3 linked regions of the Ovis aries genome follow. The protein of the gene in region 3 interacts with the protein of the main gene of each other region in a biochemical or structural test. Links are inferred from orthologs where the notes say so. Each region holds a gene or a part of one and is shown on either strand. Other genes may lie near its edges.

Region 1 (7,474 bases), on a different chromosome or scaffold from region 3:
CTTAAGTTATTTAGCCTGCTTCACTGTCAATTTTTCACATTAAAACAGAGTTAATACTGGGACTTCCTTGGTGTCCAGTGGTTAAGAATCCATGCTGCCAATGGAGTTGGCAGGAAAGCAATTAACCCAGTTTTCAGGTTCAATCCCTGGTCAGGAAGCTAGACCCCACACGCCACAGCCCACATGCCGCACCTAAGGCCCAGACCAGGTAAATAAATATTCTAAAAGAGTAAAGCTAATACCTCTAAGAGCTGTGAAAATTAAAAAAGACTTTGGGTTTAAAGGGCCTTGCCTGGTCTCTGGCCCAATTAGGAGCTTTATATTATCATTAGATTATAAGTAAATATTGTTATTTATAGGCAAATAATGCATGCATGCTCAGTCGCTTGAGTCGTTTCCGACTCTTTGTGACGCCATGAACTGTAGCCCGCCAGGCTCCTCTATTCATGGAATTCTCCAGGCAAGAATCCTGGGGTGGGTTGGGGATCTTCCCAACACAGGAATCCAACCCAAGTCTCCTGCATTGCAGGAGGATTCTGTACTGCTGAGCCACAGGGGAAGCCCAGGCAAATAATAATTGTAATAGTAATCAGCACACTCGTTGCTCATGTAGAAGTATAAATGAACAGTTACTTTCATAAATCGAAGCTGGCTGTTTATAGAAAACAATCATAGCAGGTGGCCTCTGGAGTACCTTTGGCCTTACAGAGTTAGGAGTTTTGTAATGAGTTTGCTTCTCGTCCCGGAGGACTGAAATATTGAAAAAGCAACACAGAATGTCCTCCCACGGTTTAAACCTCAGTGCCCCAGACAGACGAGTGTGCCCTGGACCAGTTACAGTGTCAACTAACCCAAGACAAGCTGTCCACCTCAGGCCTTCATCTGATGCTTCTGGCCGCCTTGCTGAGCCCAAAGCCCTCGTGGTGGGGGTTGGTGATCAATTACACTAGAAGGGGTCTGGATGGGGCAGGTTCCTTGGATTCAGTCGGATGTGGATTGAATCAGAGCTTCACCACTCGGGAGCAAGATAGCTTAAGTCTCAGTCAAACAGGTTTTCATCTGGAATGTGGGAATAATGACTCTTCTGGGTGTGTGTGTGTCTGTGTGTGTGTGTGGACGATAGGAAGTGCAAGGAAAGCACTTAACCCAGTTTTCAGTGTCTATACCCCCTTCTCCTTAGGTCAAGGCTGAGACTCGGATGACATGAGTTTTATTTTCAGCCCTGGTGAGGACTGTGTGTTCAGCATATCGCTGAGTTTTTCTGGGTTTCATTTTTCTCATTCTGGAAAATGGCACGAAACCCTCCTATTAGTAGAGTTATAATGCAAGGTTAGAATAAAACTGGAATCAGCCAACTTTTTGTGCCAAAGACCAGATAGTAAATATTTGGGGCTACCGGGCCACAATGGCCTTGCTGAAGACCGTTTCTTGTTTGTTTTTTACAGCCCTTTAAACGTGTAAAATCCACCCATTGCTGGGTCACAGACTAATTTATGGGCCTCCCTGGTGGCTCAGCGATAAGGAATCCTCCTGCAATGCAGGAGCCGCAGGAGGCCTGGGTTTGATCTCTGGTTTGGAAAGATCCCCTGGAGGAGGAAATGGCAACCCGCTCCAGCATTCTTGCCTGGAGAATCCCATGGACAGAGGAGTCTGGCGGGCTACAGTCCGCGGGATCTCGAAGAGTCAGACCCGACTGAAGCGACTCAGCACGCACTGACTGTGATATGCAGAGCCCTTGTATGAATACTAGGATATTAGATCTGGAAGAGGTCTTACCCAGCAGCCTCGCTGGATGGCGTGCCCTTGGAGGTGGCCCTGAATAATTAACTAGTGACCTTTTCTGTTGCTTCATTCTTTGCAAAAGGAAGGGTCTGAACAATTGCAAAGGGTTTTTCACTGTTTATATTAGTCACATGTTTCAAATAATATTTGCCTTTATTTCAAATTTCTGTTGCAATTAGTACAAGCAGATCGTGACAACTAAAGAAAAGAGCTTCAGAGGTTTTAAGAGTGAGAAATCAGATTTTTCAGAAAATTTAATTCCTCTGGAAGGCGTTTCTGAAGAAAAATTCCCTGCTTAGAAACACGGGATTTATAAAAGCATCACCTGTGTGTGTGTGTTCATCTTTATCCCTGCCTCTCAGTCTGGGTTTTAAATTAATTTAGAAAAACCTTAGTTTGTATTTTCTATTCATTTCAGAAGGATTCCCATTAAAGCCTTAGATTGATGTGTTATCTGTGTTTATGTTCATACATTTTCATTATTGTTTTATTTAGTTAGTTTCAGTAGGAAAGGTAGAATTATACACAGTAACCCACGAGGCTCCTCTGTCCCGGGGATTCTCCAGGCAAGAACACTGGAGTGGGTTGCCACGCCTTCCTCCAGGGGATCTTCCTGACCCAGGGATGGAACCCAGGTCTCCGAATTGCAGGTGGATTCTTTACCACTAGTGCCAGCTGGGAAGCCTATAGACGTGTGTGTGTGTGCGTGTGTGTGTGTGTTGTTATGTGAATAATTAGGCTATTCCAATAAGCCCCTGTGTAAGTAATTACAGTATATATAATTATTTTATAAAACATATATTATGTATGTTATTACATATATAGTTTATATATATGCATATTTATATTTTGAATGTATGCCAGTCATTCTGCTAATAAGCATTTTGCTTAGGACATCTCCTTTAGCAGCCACTCTTGTTCTGTGAGGAAGTGTACGAATATCTTCGTAATAGAGAAGAAATTGAGGTTCAGAGACTGGTTTCTAAGAGCATCTGTTTTTCTCCAATTCCCACACTATTAACCTCTTGATGCTGCTTTATTTTACTCACGAGCTCTCACCTTATTTTTAGGGAGAACTCTCTCCAGTCTCGTAGGCTTTGGGAAGATCGCATTCGATTAAATATCTCATGTTTTTCCTTTCTCTGTTGCAGGCCACCTCGGGATTTAGACTCCAAAGCTTGCATTTCTATTGGAAATCAGGTGAGAAAAGTCGTGTCTTCCAGTTAATGTCTTGACCCTTTTATATGTATACTTTGTGACTGGCCAGTGGGAAAAAATGAATTTTCCATAACATGCTGTCAGGGGTTGGGTCAATAACGTTTGAATGTAAACAGAAGTGGCCTGTGGAGCAGTTGCTGTTTTAAATGTCAAATCGGGATCGGGCTGTTGTGGTTCTGATGGAAGGTCTCTGAGGCAAAGAGATGGTTTGTTTTGGGCTGCGCTTTGCAAAGTCCAGGCCTAGAGCTAGTCGCCAGGAGTCAGCAAGGGACCTGAGGGGCCATCGAGGGCCGGAGCTGAAGACCCGCTGTGCGGGGTCAGCGCTCCCTGTGCCGTTCAGCGCCTGAGCTGGAACTGGACCTCTGTATTGCCCAGGATAAAGGGGGGCCCACAGCGGGCATCTGCACATCTCCCAGGCACTTCTTGCTTTCAGTGGCTGCTTGGCAAAGCTTCTAGACCAGAAGGTTCTCGACCAGAAAGGACCCTTGGACTGCTCAGAGGAACCAGAGGGAGGACAGGGCAGCCTGTGTCTGGTTTCTTTCCTTTTTTCCTATTGCTGAGCACCAAAGAATGGATGCTTTTGAACTGTGGTGTTGGAGAAGACTCTTGAGAGTCCCTTGGACTGCAGGGAGATCCAACCAGTCCATCCTAAAGGCGATCAGTCCTGAGTGTTCATTGGCAGGACTGATGTTGAAGCTGAAACTCCAATAGTTTGGCCACCTGATGCGAAGAACTGACTTGGAAAAGACCCTAATGCTGGGAAAGATTGAAGGCGGGAGGAGAAGGGGGTGACAGAGGATGAGATGGTTGGATGGCATCACCAACTTGATGGATGTGAGTTTGAGTATCCAGGAGTTGGTGATGGACAGGGAGGCCTGGCGTGCTGCAGTCCGTGGGGTCGCCAAGAGTCGGACACGACTGAGTGACTGAGCTGAGCTGAACTTCCTGTTGTACCCTTGCTTCTCTCTCCCGCAGAACTTCGAGGTGAAGGCGGATGACCTGGAGCCCATCGTGGAGCTGGGCCGGGGGGCGTACGGGGTGGTGGAGAGGATGCGGCATGTGCCCAGCGGGCAGATCATGGCGGTGAAGGTAGCGTTTGCGTTCCCCAGACACTTGCCGGTCCTGGTCGGGATGTTTGGCCCTCTCAGCTGCACACGGGCTTCTTTCACAGAAGCGGGACAGTCCTCTGTGGGGGGAGACAGAAAAGCCTATTTGTGGCGAACGATATTTCCCTCCAAATATGTCCAAGCGCCTCCTTGGAATAAACAGCAGCACCTGGCTTTTGGACTGCTGAACCCTACCCCCTGTTTTTAATTGTTTTGTGCGACGACCGCATCGCGCTTCCCTGGTGGCTTGCGCTTGCGATGCGGGACGCGTGGGTCGGGAAAATCCCCTAGAGAACGGAACGGCTACTCCCGCCAGTATTCTTGCCTGGAGAATTCCATGGACAGAGGAGCCTGGTGGGCCATACAGCCCATGGGGGTCACAAGAGTCAGACTTGACCTGGTGGCTAAACCGCCACGACCACCAGCCGCATCATCACACGTAAGAGAACCAGCAGTGCTTGCTCACTCTCATCCACCGCCAGGTCCGAACGAACGTCGCCTTGAGCGTTCCAAAGCTGTCACTGTCTTTTCTCCTGTTGGGTTTTCAAGTCGGCACCCAAATGCGAGCTTGCACGTGGCATTTGGTTTTCTGTCTTACGAGTCTCTTTTTAAGCTTTATTCTGTTGCTTTTAAAGAATCTGTCCCTGAAAATCAGGAAACCCAAACTGAGAGACAAAATTGCCTCCATTTGTGGAAACAGAGGAGGGTAAAGTCATCTTGAGCGAATTTGCATAGTTTTGGAGCTATAAAAAGAAATTTAGAATCGTCGCATATTTCTTGAGTGGATGTTGGGAGGACCTTGGAGCGGGCCCAGTGTGTTCTAGCTGGGTTGTCAGGCATGTGGATGGTCAGATGGCCTGGATTCCTTTTTTTTTTTTTTTTTTTTGGAGAATGCTGACATCTTTCCCTTACCTTGTAGATTTTTCAGTTTCATCTCCTGCAGACTCTTTGCTCCACAGGCAAAAAATGTGAAAGCCTCATGATACTATGTTGTCGTTTAATGACACAGCCGTGTTGTCTGTGGGGCTGCCCTTACTGGTGTGGTTAGTCTGTCTTCTCTTAGACATGAACTGTGTCTCCATCTCAGTTCAGCTCCTCCTTATCCCATTCCTCAGTCAACTAACTCTTCTGCAGTTTCTGTTTAGGGTCCAGATTTTTTTACCTGTTCATAAAGAGGGAATTTTGGCTTTTTTTTTTTCCTTGTATGAGCCCAAATCAGCCCCACATCAATGAATACTCTGGCCTCTTTACACTAAACCCACACGATAAGTCAGACTGTTTTGTAACTTGGGAATGTCTTCCCAAACATTTGCGCACTCTCCACCGTAGATGACCAGTTGGCTTCTCTCCTGGGGATTATTCGGTAAATGAAATGAATAGCAGTCTTCCTTACTTTTCATTTGTTACAGATAGGTAATCCTTTAGGGTAGGTATTTGAACAGTTGTTGCTAGAAGCTGTGCTGTGAATTTTCCTACTGTTCTCGGGAGGGGATCCTTTGAGGTCCCTGCCTTGTCGACAGACCCACCCTCAGGGCAGTAACCATCCATTTTCCATGCCTTCCGATCAGCGGATCCGGGCCACGGTCAACAGCCAAGAGCAGAAGCGGCTGCTGATGGATCTGGACATCTCCATGAGGACCGTGGACTGCCCCTTCACGGTCACCTTTTACGGCGCACTCTTTCGCGAGGTAGGTGGTAGTACCTTCAAAGCTGCAAGGCAAGCGGTGACTGAGAAAGACGTCCCCCCAATCTCACAAACACCAGCAGTCACAGGGCGCTTCCTTGTCCGACGTGTCTTCTGTGGAGAGTTTCATGCTCGTGAAATGTTGGTGCAAAGTTAGCTGGAAACCATGGTATTTTCCAATGTGTTTAGCCCTTTCAAAATGCTGGGGTTCCCTTTCTCCTTCCTGTTCTGGTTTGTCTCTTTCGGCAGAGCGGTCTCTATCAACCTATAGGTGTATTTATGTCAGTCCCTTGAAATCTCAAATACTCTGGTCTTTTGGCCTCTTGATAAGCTCCAGGCAGGCTTGTGCAGTGGATTGGCCTCATATCTGCTTCTTTTTTCTGATTCTCCTTCTCACTTGACGATGATATGTGTTGTTGTCCCCTCCCCTTTCTAAGCACTTTTTTATTAGGGTATACTTGATTTACAGTGCTGTTAGTTTCTGCTAACAGTGAATCAGCTCCATGTACATATATATATATATATACATATATATATATATATACTCACACTTTTTAAGATATTTCCCCATACAGCCCATTACAGAGTGTTTGAGTAGAGTTTCCTGTGCTATACATAGGTCCTTATTATTACCTGTTTTCATCTCCCTCTTATAACCAGCTTTAAATGATAAGCTGTTGCCCGTGGTCAGTGTGGGAAGTCAGGCATAGAGTTGGTATCTGGTCGTAACTCCCAGAGCAGGGGTCGCCCACCTCCAGGACTTAATGCCCGACGTTCCAAGGTGGAGCTGAGGCACCAGTAATAGAAGCAAAACGCATGATACATGTAATGCGCTTGAATCATCCTGAAACCGTGCTCCCCCACCCTGCTCTGGTCCACGGACAAATTATCTTCCACGGAACTGGTCCCTGATGCCAAAAAGCCTGGAGACTGCTGTCTTAGATAACAGTAACGGTAAAGGCTTGGGAGCCTGTTGCTTGTGGGTGTAAGCATTTAGAACCTAGTTTTCATGAAGGAGTGGGTGATCACAGGCAGATCTGTTTGGCTGTCTGCTAGCTTGCTGTTTGGAGGTAATATTGCCCATTTATAGATTTCATTGAGATCTTGAAGGACAGTGTGCATTTCCTTCAAAAGCTCACGCAGGGAGTGGCCCGTCCTCCTGACAGATGCTAACTGCTTCCTCCTCTCGCCTTTCCATCCTCACTGACTGTCTCGGAACCAACCGGCCTCCAGGGGGATGTCTGGATCTGCATGGAGCTCATGGACACGTCCCTAGATAAATTCTACAAGCAAGTGATCGATAAAGGCCAAACAATTCCAGAGGACATCTTAGGGAAAATAGCAGTTTCTGTGAGTACATCGCGAGCCCCAGCCCTGTCCAAGGAGCGCGGGGGGTCTGGGCCTCGTGTTTCGCTGTTCCCTCCGTATGGGGAAACACCACCTGGACCGGAGCGCCCATCCCATCTGTGTGTGTTGATTGCACGGGTGTGTAAGTGGATGGATCGATGGATGCTTCTCTTTCTGGGCTTGACCTACACGAAGTTCTGCTCCTGACTCGGCCTGGGAGGCTTTCAGCTGAAATGCCTCTGAGCAGCACGTTCATCGGCTAGGACCACGTTCCTGGTGTCCATGTTCTGATACTGGTTTGTCTTGATTTTCGTTTGTGGAGTTGTAAATGTTTCCT
Region 2 (7,474 bases), about 17 Mb from region 3:
TTGACAAAGCAGAGACTAAAACTAAGGCTTGCCTGATTCCAGAGCCCTTACCACTGCAGGACTGCCTCTGTGGACTTTAGCATTCCATTTTCATAATTGCTCCATAACTTCAGTAGGAGGATTAGAAAACCTCTGACCCCTGGAGAGCTATATTCAGCCCTCATCGTAATTTCACCTGGAAGTGCTTTTGTAGGCCAGCCAGAGATTAGACTTCCTACTAACCCATCTTTCAGTGGCAGGCCTCTCGAAAGCAGTGTTTGTTGAACTTTTTTTTTTTTTTTTTTGGATCATGGCTCAAAAAAAAAAAGTTTTTTTTACATCAAAATTCAGTGTCTGTACATACAACCACAAGTGAAGCATTTTCACAAAATGATTCTCGTGCTTATTATTTGCATGCCACATGGTAATTTTTTTCTTTTTTTTTTTAATATACTGATCATGATCCACGAAGCGATTTCAAGATTACTACTTGGCTTACAGCATAGAAACACTGCTCTAAAGGTTTGAGGATGAAAAGAGCTAAAGAACTGTGACTAGTAGTTAAGAAGCTAATTACTACTAATTCTTACAGTTGCAGTATGGTTCCCAGAATTTTGGATTTAACAGACAAATTAAATTTAAGGGTCTCTGTTTTTCCACATAAGTATATTTAGAAAGCTTACTACTGACTAGCAACACCATTATTTATTTCAAAAAAAAGTTATGTAGGAAACTTTAAATATATATGTGTATATTTCCTGTTAATAAAAAAAGATTTATGTAGAATAAAAATATCTTGAGTTCTTTACATACCATTTTCCTTAGTCTCATTCTCCCTAGAGGGAAGTAACCACTGTTAACAGATGAGCATGTATCTTTCCATACCATTTTATTTGTAGAATTTTGCTTTGTTTATAGAAATAGAATCAGCCAAGTGTTTTGCTTTTTTTTAAATTGAACTGTAGGTCTTAGAGGCTTATCCATGCAATAAATACATATTTTACCTTTGAGAGAAAATTGATACTAAGAAGTTAGAAATCGTGTTATAAAGGATACTCTTAAATTGAATAAATTTAGCTTTGTGAAAAACTTGCTGTATCATTTTTATTTTAATCATTTCATCATAAACCAGTGAAAAATTCATCACAAAGTGGCACATGTATATCTGAATTCTTAGGACTCATTGACCTGGGGGACTACAAAATACCCAGTAGGATCAGAGTAATTTTATACAGTCCTCTGTCTTAATCTAGTCTAGCTGAGACTTTTCTGGGCTTTCTCATTTCTATCTCATTTCCCTGTTAACTTCTTCTACTTTTTTTTTTCTTTTTTTGCTCTACCTCCTTCATATGATGGCTGCTCTTTAGGATTATATTGATAACAACTAATATTGAGATGTCCTTTAATATATTAAACTGATTATTTCTGTGAATCAGGGCCACTAAATAATACCTGTCTTACTATTTATCAGCCCTATATTAAACACATGTTTCACTTAATCCTTAGGGCTATTCTATGGGATAGGTATTTTTTCCATTTTATAAAGGTAGAAGGTAAGGCTCAGGAAGAGAAATTTTCTTGATGTCATATTAATAATGATGAGTCACTTAATATTCATGGATATAGTACCTTTTGTTAAATATTTATGTTCTTTATATGTATTATTGCATTTAGTCCTCACAACACCTTTTGAAGTAGGTGCTCATAGACTGTTATCCCATTTTATAGATGAGGAAACAAATGCACAGGTAAATTTAGTAGTTTGTCCAAAAGTTCATAGCTAGTAAGCAGAACTAAAATGAATCCAGTGAACTGGACTCCACAGCTTTTGTTCCTCTGTGCTTCTTTCTGTATGGCTTTTCTATCCTTTCCATGTTTACTAATATTGCAGATATTTTTAACCCTGATTTGATCCCAAAGTAATTATTTTTTCACTATATATGTCACAGAATATGATGTTTATAGAGTCACTAGAATCAGCCTTGGAGAAGGGAAACATCAGTTTGAACCAGCAAAGTACAATCCAAGCAGTGCTTAGTTTTGGGATGAGGTGGTTTTGCATGTTCTGATCATGCTAACGCTTCTTTGAATTTCATAGTTCTTTTCCCCTCAGAATCAGGATGATGAAATATAGTCAGGTTTGGATAATTGGACACTCAAAGTCCCAACTTCTCTCTGTCTCCTCTGCACCACCAGCTTTCCTAGCCACTTAGAAGGTAGAGAAGGTGGTTCAGTTTTATCGAGTATTTATTGCTTGAAGACTTATTCCTGTGCCATCTTCTGGAGATTTCCTGCATGTGTTTAGAAGGTACACCTTCTTTCTCTGCTTTGGAGGGCTACAGCTGTTAGGCCTTTTCAGTGTAGAGAGTAGTCTTATCCCTAGGCATCAAGAAGAGAGCTGCAAGTTGAGAGTAAATCAAGCCTACTGACTCAGACTTGATAGATTTTCAGACTCAGAGGGGTGGCAGAAGCAAAGGGAAAGAGTTAACAGTGAATGTAGTCTGTTTCTCTGTTACCTTTGAGCAAAAATGAGAAAGGATAGATTTTTCTGGTAGTTGGATCCTGGTTTGATTATCAGAAATGTCAGTTTTCGGAAGTGGTCATGTATGAACGATGTAGAACCAGAAGCTATCCCTTTGCTCTTTAGAGGGATGACTGTTACCTACACCCCTAGAGTGAATTTCTCATTTTGAAGGCTAGAAAAAAGGGGAGGGTAAAAAAGGGACAGCACCAGGACACCAAAGAGATAGTAGTGATCTGGGGTACTTTCTGGTGGACCTGGGTGTTCTTTAGGCCAACTAAATGTTGATCGATTTGCTATTCCTTGAAGATCTGGTGGGGATGAGTGGGAGATTAGAGACTACTCTCACACGGTTTTTAGTCTCTCTGTTGTTGCACACTCTACTCTAAATGCTATCTTATTTTCTTGATCCCCACTCTTAACCACGGAGTGCCAGGTGCATGGGACCCTCTCAGTGGTGTAAGCTTTTAATGGTGGATAATTATAAGACTTAAGTCCTGATTGGAGCAAAGAAATGAAGAGATTCTGTCCTTTCTTTTAAAACATGAATGCCGTTGTCATGGCCCTGTGTTTAATTTTACCCGCTTTTTTTCTTGCAGAATTGTTGAAGCCTGGACGTCCCCTCCCCTCCCCCTCCCCCCTCTGCCGCTTTGTGGCATCCCCCTCCCTCCACCCTTTCCCACTCTGATAATCTAGCCATGACTAGCAGAAGCACAGCCAGGCCCAATGGGCAGCCCCAGGCCAGCAAAATATGCCAGTTCAAACTGGTCCTGCTGGGTGAATCTGCAGTGGGGAAATCTAGCCTGGTATTACGTTTTGTCAAAGGGCAGTTCCACGAGTACCAGGAGAGCACCATTGGAGGTAAGTACTTCAGGGAGAGAAGAGATTAGTGTTTAGAAGGGCTATTGAAGGGAGATCTAGGGATCTGATTATGCCACCGGCCCTCTTAGCTCCCTGTAATGAAAATCTTTTATGAAACAAAAAAATTGCCAAAATGCCCCAAAACAGGTCTCTGTTCATCCTCTTCCTAGAAGAAAGTTAGAAAGGTTGGCCTTTGAGCACCAAAAAACCACTTTTTAAAAAAAATCTCAGACTCTTTTCCTCTTCCTGCTCTCATCTTAATGCCAGTGAAGTTCAGTTGAGGTTCATCTTGAGCAGGGGTGATTTGGGGCAGTGGCTCATAATCAGAGGTGTACATCTGAAACTCCTGGGGAGCATGCTGGGCCCTGCCTCAGACTGGCTGATTAGTTTCGGAAGGAGGGTGAGATTGGTGGCAGTATAGACGTGTGTTTGGAAAAGCTCCTTAGATCTTTGATGCACACACCTGGTAAAGCAGAGGTTAGAACTAAATACAAAAGATAAATATGCGTTTGCTACCTTGGCTACCTTCTGTCTACCACTATCCCGAAATGGGTGCTAATTCAACATGAGAACTCCCCACATTTCTCCTTCTCCACTTTTATTACTTACCTTGGAAATACATTCTTAGACCAGCAGAAGTGATATAAAAAAGTAATAGCCAGATAATATAATGGTGGGGCCTCACATCAGGCTTTAAAATCTTCGAATCAGTTCTTGATATGACTTTTATCTGAAGCTTATTGTCTCTCATTATCTCTTAATCTATTTTGGTTAGAAAAGTGTTGACTCTGGTATTAAAGCTGGTTCTTTCTAGCCCTCAGAGTTTACCATGGCGCCCCCATTCCTTAGCTGGAAAGACTTCTCGCAGGAAGGATTTAGCCAAGAGCAGGCTTAATTCTGGTGCCAGGACCCGAAGGAAAATGCTAAACCTTTCCAGGGTATAAGGAGGAGAATGCTAAACCTTTTCCTGTAGCTGAACGGCCTGGGTAGTGACTGGTCTTAGACTGACAGTGGAGATATTTTGAAGGAAGGTGGGATGTTCCAGTGCATTCTCCCACTTACACCAACTTTCCTCTGTTCTCTCATTCATAGCGGCCTTCCTTACCCAGTCTGTTTGTCTAGATGACACGACAGTCAAGTTTGAGATCTGGGACACAGCTGGGCAGGAGCGATACCATAGCTTGGCCCCCATGTACTACAGAGGTGCCCAAGCTGCCATTGTGGTTTATGACATTACTAATCAGGTAAGTGGGCTGAGAAGATTGTCCTTGCTTTTATTTATAGGAATTAAATTAGGTGGGGGAGAGAAAACCGGTTCTTGAAATAGCAAAATAAGAATACAAATTATGCTTCCAAGTGTTGAGAAGACAGAGGTAATGAATTACCAGAAACAGATGGTTTCAGTGAGTAACGGCTGCTTAGAAGAGGTGAGTTTTGAGATTGGACTTTGAAGGTGATAGCCCTAGATTGGCAGTCTTTCTAGCCTACCCATTCTCATCCTTGTGTTTTCCTAGGAAACCTTCGCCCGAGCGAAGACATGGGTAAAAGAACTACAGCGACAGGCCAGTCCTAGCATCGTTATTGCCCTGGCAGGGAACAAAGCCGACCTGGCCAACAAGCGCATGGTGGAGTATGAAGTAAGCTGGCCACCAAGTCCTTCCTGACACACTCCCTCTATGCTTGGGACCTCTTTTTTCCAAACCTGCCCTCTCTGAAAACCTCATCTGAGGACATTCATCATCTCATTCCCCAGTTCTTCACCAAGTTAAATACAGCAGCACTGTGACCCTAATGCCAGCCAGGAGATTTTAGAGGAGTCAGAAGAAAATTCCAGAGCAGAGGGGTAGGGGAGTACCAGTACCAGCTGTGGGGGTACCAGTGTGAAAAGAGGAAGGAGGGAGCAATTGAATTTGAGGTAAGGGACTCAAGTGTCAGAACCCAAAAGCCCCTAACCAACTTACCTTCTTCCCTGTAATTAAGTTTCCTGACATCTGTTTGTTGGATTAAGTGGTAGAGACCATGGGATATTCCCTGAGGGAGTCATCACCAAATTATGGGTCCAGGGGCAGCTGGCTCAGAGGGGAGGGAACCTAGGATGTTGCCTAGCTCCAGTGCTACATGGGAGTGGAAAGGCTGTACTTTGTCCCTGCCCTACAGTCTGAGTACCAGTATACCCCACCCCTTACAGGAGGCCCAGGCGTATGCAGATGACAACAGCTTATTGTTTATGGAGACTTCCGCCAAGACAGCTATGAACGTGAACGATCTCTTCCTGGCAATAGGTAAGGTCAGAGCAGCCTGAGGTCTTCCTGTTGTTTTTCCCTTGCCTCTAGGCAAGATTACTAACCCAGGTCATAAGGATAAATGGGAGTGTCTCCCTTTATGAAAACTTTAGGTGTTAATATACTGTAACTTTCCATTGTGACCTCCATCCTTTCGTTGCAGCTTGAGCCCCCTCATCTTCAATGTTGTTTGCAATGAACCCTCCCCTCTTGAGAACATTCTTTTAGTCTCTCACATTTCCCCTTTCCCCCAATAGTCTTTTTTGGGGAGATGAGTAAAATCTACCATACTTTGTTCCCTTCTGTTTTTATCTCTAGCTAAGAAGTTGCCAAAGAGTGAACCCCAGAATCTAGGGGGTGCAGCAGGCCGAAGCCGAGGTGTGGATCTTCACGAGCAGTCCCAGCAGAACAAGAGCCAGTGTTGTAGCAACTGAGGGGTTGGCTAGCAGCAAACAAGTATGGAGCTAGCACGAGAGCTAAGAAATAACCTCCATCCCCACCCCTCAGCACACAGCCCCTACGGTAACAGCACACTGAGCCCTGGCTCCCAAGGGCTGCCTCTTGACAGCTCCGTCATGGCACTTTTTAACGCTTCAGCAACAACACCAGGCAGCTGTTGCCACTGGCCTCCTACCCCTACTCTGGGGCTTGGGGGTCTGATCCCCGAGGACTTACCTTCCAAAACAAACTTTCTTCACTTTGTATTATGGGTGCAAGACAGTGACGTACTCATCTTTCCTCCTCCTCCTCCTGCCCATTTTTTCAGAAAATTTTTTTTTTGGTCTCCTGCCCCTTCCCCTTCTGCTTTTGGTCAGTTTCTGTTCTTGATCTCCTTTTCCTCCTCTCCCCAGGATGGAGAAGGTGGTGAACTCAGGAACTGAGGAAGGTTTCCAGTTCAGTCACATTAAGGGCCTTGGGGGAAAAGTAAGGCTCAGAGCAGGGGAGAGTAAGGAAACATTGCCTTTTTGGTTTTGTTTGGTTGGAGTTTCTCATATTTGAAAGCACTGCAGCGTCCATGAGTTGGCCTTGTGGAGGGTTTTTCTAGGTAGAGGTGGGAATGGGACGGCCAGCTCCCGGGCACCAGGTTGGAGTCTTGCTATTGGCTGACTGGGCAGAAGTGGAAGGGGTGGAGAGGCAGTGTCATCTGTGGCTCATAGAACTCTTCCAAGGCCTATTTCCCCCTCACCCAGCTTCTTAGTAGCTTCTCCCCCATAATGGGGGAGATTCTGGACCCCAGAGTCCTCCAAAGAATCTTCACTGGTTGCCTGCCTCTTTGGCTCTGCTGTGATCTAAATGGAGGAGGGACCAGTTTCTGATACCCATCCTCTGACTTAGGCATTTTTTTCTCTCTGGCCTTCAGATGGCCTCAGCCCCAGCCACCATATCCCCCTGCAGTTTGCACTTTAATTGATGGTAGTTCAGTTGTGATACTTGTTTAATGGGTGGTTTGGTTGATTTACTTGCCCTCTTTTTAATTAAGTGGAATCCAATGTGTATATGAGATTTGAGGAGGGGCTGCAGAGAACCATACCGGTGGCAGCTAGTCAAGCCCAGTCTCAACTGCTAGCTTCCTCTAATTCTTACTTCACCTATATTCTTGCCAACCTAACTCTTGGGTATAGGTTTACCTTTCCTGGGAAATTAACTGAGCAACTGGAGAGCAGTCTCAGGATAGCATAGGCCACTCACTGTAGGGGAGTGAAGAAGAGTCCAGCCAGAGGGAGGAGTTTTCTGTGCTTTTCCAGGGTTCCCAGTGAATTTGATCCACCCATTACCATGTCTTTTCTACTTCCCTGTAAATAGGTATGATCTTTATTCCCACTGTACAGTC
Region 3 (8,274 bases):
AAATAACTTCCACATACACTAAATTCACTTGATACTATGAAGGATATAGCTTGAACTTAGAGTTTCAGAGCTCCTGAATACTACGGTCAAGCTCTAGAATCCACATGTTTTAACTCTGGCTGAGAGACTTTTTCCACTAGTCGTTAGATAATTTCTAAATTTTTCTCTTATGACATAATATATGATTCAACATCAGTACACATGATGATCTTTCCAAAAGAAAAAAAATCAGCTACCTATTAAAGAATTTTGTCAATATTCTTTTAAATGTAAATCCTATACAAGGGTCAGACACATTTTCACCAACTCTACTGCAGAACTTTGAAAAAATATGTAATAAACAAACCTGATTCATTTAGAAAGTGAACTGCATGAGGAAGCTCATTTTCATCTAACTGCAGCTGATGTTCTCTCACAAGTTGTAATAATCGTTTCCGGTCAATTACAGGAAATTCAATTGGCACATTTTTACGCTCTGATAAAATGATTTTCTCAAGTTCTACATAGCAGTCTGGAATCAGCTGCCCAACAACAGGCTGATCTCGGATCTATGAAATTACAGATGACAAGCTGTAAAAATCCATTTTATGCATCTGTGTGTCAGGTGGTTGGTAAATTCTGCGCTAATCATTCAGAAAATGATTATTTTTAATAAAATCAAGATGCAATGTAAAACTAATTAAATCATGAGAAATAAATAAGATTACCTTAAAATAAGAAAAAAAAAGTGAACACAGAAGCCAATTTGGAAAGAACTATCAAATAACATTGTATGGAAATAATTATCAAGGTATTCAGAAAATCCATGGCGAAATCCAGGACAAATCATTAACCTTAAATAAAGGACCTACTATTTTCTAAGACATTAAATCTACAGGTAACAGATATGCTAACATAAAAGTCAGGATTGTAAGAGCTTTTGGACTTTATTTTTTAGATGAAACTATCCACATCCCAAAGTAAAACTACATTTTCTTCTTGCTATTTGCAAAATGTAATATTAGTGGGATGTACATTTCAACAGTGAAGTCTGGAGACAGACATGAAATTTCCTCATTAAGCTATGCTTTTTCATGGAGACTTGAACTTGGAAAAATAAAAAATCATCTAAACCCAATGATTCTATACGAGAGGATGATTTGGGGTCTCTTACACTTAGAATCTAATTAAAATCAAAATTTTAATAGTATGATCTTATATGAAAGTTTCTGTAATAAAAATATTTCCAAACATTTTTTCTTCTTAAAAATCTAATTTTAAATAGAAATACAACTTTAATAATAGTAAATGCCTTTGCAAACCACCAGGTGGCAAACTCTCCTCATTTCTCAACCCATGAATATATTCTTGACAATAAAGAATAAAATTTCTACTTGAACTCTTCAACTTATTACAAATAGAAATTGGGTTTATTATACCTGCACACACACACACACAAACTTTATACTTGTTCTTTTTCTACTCTTAACTTGATCCTTCAGGAGCCTAATTTATAGCAGCCGTAACCATTACTTACATATTTACTTCCAAACAATCAGGATTGTTTTGAGGTACCCCTTGAACCAGAAAATTAAATATAATTTCACTAACCTCCACTTTTCATATTCCCTCTCTTCATCATTTATAAATTAAGATAAAACAGAACTTCAGATTGAAGTCTGCGTTTAACCCAAGAAGGGAAACCTACATATAAAAGTAAACAAGTTCACACAGTAGTCAAGAAACAAAGGGATGGACTTTACAGAGCTAGATTACAGGGTGAGCAAAGGATCCCACTCTGCTAAGGGGCTGGACAAGCCTGAGAGGGACATTGTTGGCACTGATTTCTATTTTGTCCTACTTCCTTTAACCTTTATCATCGGGTCACCGACAGTCAAAAACAGAAAGCTTTTATTCTAAACTCTGCATGGACACATGTTAATAAGAGTGAGACACACAAAGATTAGAAAAGATCAAGATAAAAGGAAAAGATGAAAAACAAATGAAAGACCAAACAAAAAAGATTTCTAACAGCTTAAAAGCTGCTGACTGAATACAGGTTGAGGCACCTCAGGAAGGAAAGAATATTCAAGTTCTGGCAGGCTTATTGTTCTGGGGTCATCTGAATCACTATTCTGCAAAGCAGCCAATTGAATTTTCAAACCAATATAACAGAATGATGCATGCATTTGCAATATATACCTTCCTTCAAATAATAATGCCATTTCTCAAAGCATTTGTTTTTAACCTCCTCATCCGGTATTGCCTTCAGAGTTCACGTACAAGCGCAGAAAACAGACTGGTCTTATCACCAGTAAACTGGTCTAACTTGCTGTTAGCCTAAAGTAGTACCAGTCCAGCTTGATGAATCAACTACTCTTTTCATAGACTTCCTCAACTAAATCCAGATTTTCTCAAAACAAACTCATACTTTAAGAATTCTTTTTTAAAATATGATAAATGGTCTGATATCAATGATAAGAGAGAAGCTATTAAAATATTATAAGTAACAGCAAAGTTCTGTAAGTATAGATATAGTCTCAAAAGGAAATTCCCTGGGTAAAGAGGATATTTAATTGAATATATTAATTTGGTGCATTTGTTTCTTAAAAGTCATATCACTCTTTAATCATATGTCTCACAAAAGAGTAGCAAAAACTAGAGATAAATGATACTTTATTCTTCTAACATAAAATTTCCATTGACCCACATTTGTAAAAGCTTTTATTGATTGTGATAAATGTGTGGAAAGATATAAATGTGCAAATTCTCTCTCTGAGCACCACAAAGACTGGCACACTTATAAATGGCTCATTAAGTTTTAGACAGAGCATAATCTGTGGAAATGGAACAGAACTAAGCTAACTGGATAATGTGTTATAACCAAGGTGACCGTGTAATTTATCATCCAAACTGGAATGCTTCTGAGAATGTAGTGAGACACAATTAATAATTACACTGGGACTGTCCAGGCAAAACAAGACCCTTGTTAGAAGCCACAGCTTTGATCGTTAGTACTAATGAGCTAAACCAATAGAGACTAACGGTGAAATCCACTATTGTGTTTGTCATATGGAACTATTCAAAGTGTTTTTCAGTACAGTTTACCCCTTGCTATCTGTAGAGCCCAGGTAAAATTTCTTTCTCTTTTGTATTAAAAACAAGCATTTGTTAACCAATTTATTTGTGTTTTATGAACTCTATGAACTCTATTTGTCTTACCAGAAAGAAAAACTTTGTAAATCAAAAACATAACTCTTGACATAAAGTTTGTATGAACTAGAATATTGCTTACACATTGTTGAAAACCAAATTAGTGACCGTGGTGACCAGATGGAAGAGCCTTCTCTCAATATTGAAGGAAAAAAAATATTTGAAAGGGGGAATCACAGTGACAAAGACATGAAGGAACAACAAAGACCAAGACGAGCATAAAACAGAAACTCCAAAAGGAGCAGATGGAGAAAAAACAGTCAAAGAAAAATACAAGAAAGATCACTCCAAGACCCCAACATCCATCGTTATCCTTTTGACTGAATCACTACTATAGGATGTTGGGAGAGAAAGGGCATCAAAAACATGTCCCCAGATTCTCTCAGGAACATTCTCTCAGCCTCTCAGATATCCTTTTAGTTTCTCTCAGGATCCTCAATTATTTCTAATTCCCAATTCTGTGAGTTCAAAATTAAGTCTAACATAAATAATTTTAAAATTAAAAGTACTTGAATAATGCTAACAGCTAAGAAAACCCCATACTTTTAAGATAGTTATTCTTTTCTCAAGACTGCTGACATTTCTTAGCAGTTGCAGAATGTAACAGTTAATAAATTATATTTATCTACCACCTAGGGTAGGCAATGAACCATGTTACCTTGAAATTAAGGCTCTCATTGATGATGGTTTTCCGAAGTTTTGCCAAAGCATCAGATTCCTCAGTGGCATTCACAAAGTGGTAATCTCGTATTGCAGGAAATCCTCGTTTGTTCAAGAGTTCCTTGGTAATTTTACTGATACAGGCTTTGCGCTGCTTCTCATCAGTAACATCTAAATGTGTACCAACAAGAATCACAGGAGAAGAAGAAGCACGGGCCTATGGGGGAAGACACAAAACACTCTTGTGTTTGTTTTAAAAATCAAGACTGCTTATATTTCCACTGATATTCACTTTCTATGAAATTCACTAGAATCGAAATGAGAATTCAAAAGACTTCAAGAAGAAAATGACAACTGTCTTCCCTTCCTTAAACCTAAGGGAACAAATTAAACTTAAGAAATTTTTAAAAGTCATTTTTATGCTCCTTCTTAATCTAGTTATTGTCACTTTTCAGGTGGTCCATGTGACAGTAATAACACATTTCTTTCCTCTCTGCCTAAAATGGGTTATTCTTTAAGTGTGCTTTGGGCTTCTAGATAAAATAATATTTAATAACACCCAAATAATATCAGAGTAATACAATTTGTTTTATATTTTCTCTTCCTTATCTGTGAATTAAAGCTCATTAATTCATATTATAGTAATTCAGTGTGGCTTCTACAAAGAAAAAACAAGTCACTAAAGTAATAAAGCATTTGGACAGTAATTTGAAGTAGAGGATTTATTTGGCAAAAACAGAACTATGTTCAGCGAGTGGAACTGAACATTATCTTTCATGCAAAGTTAAAAGCACATTGTATTTCCATCCTGACCACTTGCCCAGTCCCCATCTCTTTGAGAGAGAAAAACTTCATCTAAATTATTTCATCTGATTGATGACTGTCATTTATAACTTTATTGCTACTTCTGTCTTAGGTATTCCTTTGGAAAAGGTGTATGGATTCATTACATATTCTAATGTATTGTCTATAGATTATAAGATAAAGTCAAGCGTGTATCCACTGATACTTTTTAAGTTGGCCTGTCTTTATACTTAGAAATGTCTCTTAATAGTAGGCTTCCCTGGTGGCTCAGATTTGCCTCACAGAAGAGCCTACTAGAGCATTATTCAATGACCATTCATTTTTACTTTAGTATCAATTATAAAAAGGCACAGATTTTTAAAACCATATATACATGAAGGAATATCTAACAGCAAGAGACAAAATGGAAAAGTTGCAAAATTTCAAATATATAATATTCATCTGGGACCATTTAAAACTGTAAGTCCCACAGGGCTTTATACTAAATTGCCTCTGAGGACACAGTTGGTAATGCATAGATTGCTTCTTTTTCTTACTACAGTTTATTTTAAATTAAGGAAATTCATATTATACATAAGTAATAATACCAGGGAGCTCCCTGATACCCTCGTGGTTAGGATTTTGGGGCTTTCACTGCCATGGTCCAAGTACAATCCCTGGTCAGAGAACTTAGATCTTGCAAGCCACACAGTGCAGCCAATAAATAAATAAAATAAAATAAAAAAGAATATAAAAATAGCCTAACATATATTCTCATTTTTAATAGATTAAAAAAGCTTCAAGTTTCTATACCTTTCATTAACATAGAACATACTATTTTCATGTCACAACTTAATTACTCCTAAAAATTTCCTAACTCAAAGTTTAAGTGCTTCTAACTTTCTTGCAAAAAAGTATTTGAAAAGTCTGCTTGATGGTACTATTTGCCCCAAATAAATCACCTTATATAGAATAAGAAAACTCATGAAATATTTTCTATTCTCAAATTATTAGATCATATCACCTTTATATTGAAAAGCCAAGGCTTCATGGCATCAACTTCTGCTTGTCCTTTGCTGAGGTCATAGACCGCAAGATACAAGGCTCGTTGGGTCATAAAGTGGGGATGAGTGCTGTAGAATTCCTCACGACCTAAATAAAGATTGGAGAACTTTTCAGTCTTCCAGAGAATAGACAAGAATTCTCTTCTTCAAAAATAAAGTTAGGTGGCACTACCCACTATATACCATACAAAAAAAAAAAGAGAGAGAGAGAAACAATCAAAAGATAATAGCTACAAGATTACACTGGGTTTTTACTAGGGATTGACAACTTCTTGCTAATGTGTCAGCTATGTAGCTTCAGCTGACACGTGCTGGTTCCTAACATTTCCTTCCATTGCTTCTTCATTCTGGGGGCAAGGGAAGAATTAGGAGAAATAAATGACTTTGGAATAATTCCATATGATCCATCAGGTCTCTGTAGTATTGGAACAGAAAATCCAGTTTTTAAATCCGTTTTTAAAAAGATATCTGAATAAAAAATTTTAGCAAAATAAATACCTGCAAAATCCCATACATTCAGAATGAGGTCTTTCTTCCCTTTGCCTCTTATTTGGATGGGCCAGTCTTTCACATCAATGCCAACTGTGGCACCTTGCATCCCAAGATCTGATTTCTTGATTTTCATTAATTGCTGCAATAAGGTGGTCTTGCCACTCCCAGTATTTCCCACAATCATAAGTTTCATTCGGTTATAGGGCACAGCCTTTTTCAACCGCTGCTGAAGAAACCTGGTATTTGAAAAACAAAAATAAAATAATAAACTGCTTAACAGTGTACTTAGGCTATAGGTGAATTCTTATGCACTGAATTATTTTAAATATCAAAATGTCATAATGTACAGTATGCAAAAGAGCACATAACTCATACTAACTTAATAATGCATGTGTCTTTCAATGCATTGTTAATATATCTACTTTGCTAGTGATGTTGGTTGGTCTAGCTGATAATGATCGGAAGCCTATCGGAAGCCTCATCAAATATAATGACACGAGAAAGAATCAAAGTATCAAAATATTTGTAATACTCATTAAAATTTTATATAAAACACATACAAAATTTCTTTAAATATCACAAATAAAACTCTAAAAATTATAAAGCCTAAAATTTTACAAAGCCCATAGGATAAAGAATCAAGGTAGATCTATGTTTAGTTTTTTAAAGAACCTCCATAATGTTCTCCACAGTGATTATACCAATTTGCATTCCCACTAACAGTGTAAGAGGGTTTCCTTTTATCCACACCCTCTCCAGCATTTATTGCTTATAGATTTTTTGATGATGGCCATTCTGGCTGATGCGAGGTGATACCTCATTGTAGTTTTGATTTGCATTCTCTAAGAATTAGTGATACTGACCATCTTTTCATATGCCTTATGGCCATCTGTATGTCTTCTTTGTAGAGATGTCTATTTAGGTCTTTCACCTGTTTTTTATTGGATTGTTTGATTTTTTTGATATTGAGCTCCATAGGCTGTTTGTATATTTTAAAGGTTAATCCTTTGTCTGTTGCTTCATTTGCAAATATTTTCTCCCATCCTGAGAGTTGTCTTCTCATCTTGTTTATGGTTTCCTTTGCTGTGCAAAAGTTTTTATGCTTAATTAGGTGCCAATTATTTGTTTTTATTGTCATTATTTTACGGGATAAGTCAAAAAAAGATCTTGCTGTGATTTATGTCAAAGAGTATTTTTCCTGTTTTCCTCTAAGCGTTTTACAGTTTCCAGTCTTTAATCCATTTTGAGTTTTTTTTTTATATGATATGAGGTAGAATTCTAATTTCATTCTTTTACATGTAACTGTCCAGATTCCCCAGCACCACTTACTGAAGAGGCTGTCTTTTCTCTTGCCTCCTTTGTTATAGATTAGGTGACCATAAATATGTGGGTTTATCTCAGGGCTTTCCATCCTGTACTGCTGGTCTATATTTCTATTTTTTGTGCCAGTACTATACTACAGTGTTTTGATTAATATAGCTTTGTAGTATAGTTTGAAGACAGGGAACCTGATTCCTGCTGCCCCATTTATCTTTTACAAGATGACTTTAGCTTTTCAAGGTCTTTTGTGTTTCCATACAAACTATAAAATTTTTGTTCTAATTCTGTGAGGAATGCCATTGGTGGCCATTTGATAGGGATTGCACTGAATCTGTAGATTGCTTTGTGTAGTACATTAATTTTCTATCAATTCTATCAATCCTTTCTCTATCAATTCTTCCAATAGAAGAACATGGTATATTTTTCCATCAGTTTGCATCCTCTTTGATTTCTTTCATCAGTGTCTTTTCAGTTTTCTGAGTATAGTTCTTTTGCTTCCTTAGGTAGATTTATTCCTAGGTAATTCTTTTCTTGTGATGGTAAATGTGATTACTTTCTAAATTTCTCTTTTTACTCTTTTGTTGCTAGTGTATAGGAATGCAAGAGATTTCTGTGCATTAATTTTGTATCCTGAAACTTTACCAAGTTCATTGATAACGTCCCAGCAGTTTTCTGGTAGAATCTTTTGGATTCTCTGTATATAGTAACATGTCATCTGCAAACAGTTTTAGTTCTTCCTTTTCAATTTATATTCCTTTTATTT

The links. The genes of interacting proteins can lie anywhere in the genome.
Region 1: of the proteins of LRRK2 (region 3) and MAP2K6, one has a biochemical effect on the other in vitro, tested with the Homo sapiens proteins (2 studies listed by BioGRID). The link is inferred for Ovis aries from reciprocal best matches to the Homo sapiens genes LRRK2 and MAP2K6.
Region 2: of the proteins of LRRK2 (region 3) and RAB5B, one has a biochemical effect on the other in vitro, tested with the Homo sapiens proteins (2 studies listed by IntAct). The link is inferred for Ovis aries from reciprocal best matches to the Homo sapiens genes LRRK2 and RAB5B.

What each region holds. Positions count from the first base shown.
Region 1 is NC_056064.1:60,332,388-60,339,861, reverse strand, and holds part of MAP2K6 (dual specificity mitogen-activated protein kinase kinase 6), read left to right. Parts: intron 1-2,933; coding exon 2,934-2,982; intron 2,983-3,975; coding exon 3,976-4,089; intron 4,090-5,674; coding exon 5,675-5,794; intron 5,795-7,023; coding exon 7,024-7,140; intron 7,141-7,474. UniProt on the Homo sapiens protein: Dual specificity protein kinase which acts as an essential component of the MAP kinase signal transduction pathway.
Region 2 is NC_056056.1:163,538,213-163,545,686, reverse strand, and holds part of RAB5B (ras-related protein Rab-5B), read left to right. Parts: intron 1-2,175; exon of another isoform or gene 2,176-2,287; intron 2,288-3,099; 5' UTR 3,100-3,198; coding exon 3,199-3,361; exon of another isoform or gene 3,362-4,453; coding exon 4,454-4,605; exon of another isoform or gene 4,606-4,875; coding exon 4,876-4,998; exon of another isoform or gene 4,999-5,549; coding exon 5,550-5,643; exon of another isoform or gene 5,644-5,961; coding exon 5,962-6,077; 3' UTR 6,078-7,474. UniProt on the Homo sapiens protein: The small GTPases Rab are key regulators of intracellular membrane trafficking, from the formation of transport vesicles to their fusion with membranes.
Region 3 is NC_056056.1:146,908,734-146,917,007, forward strand, and holds part of LRRK2 (leucine-rich repeat serine/threonine-protein kinase 2), read right to left. Parts: intron 6,428-8,274; coding exon 6,198-6,427; intron 5,788-6,197; coding exon 5,660-5,787; intron 4,070-5,659; coding exon 3,851-4,069; intron 549-3,850; coding exon 347-548; intron 1-346. UniProt on the Homo sapiens protein: Serine/threonine-protein kinase which phosphorylates a broad range of proteins involved in multiple processes such as neuronal plasticity, innate immunity, autophagy, and vesicle trafficking.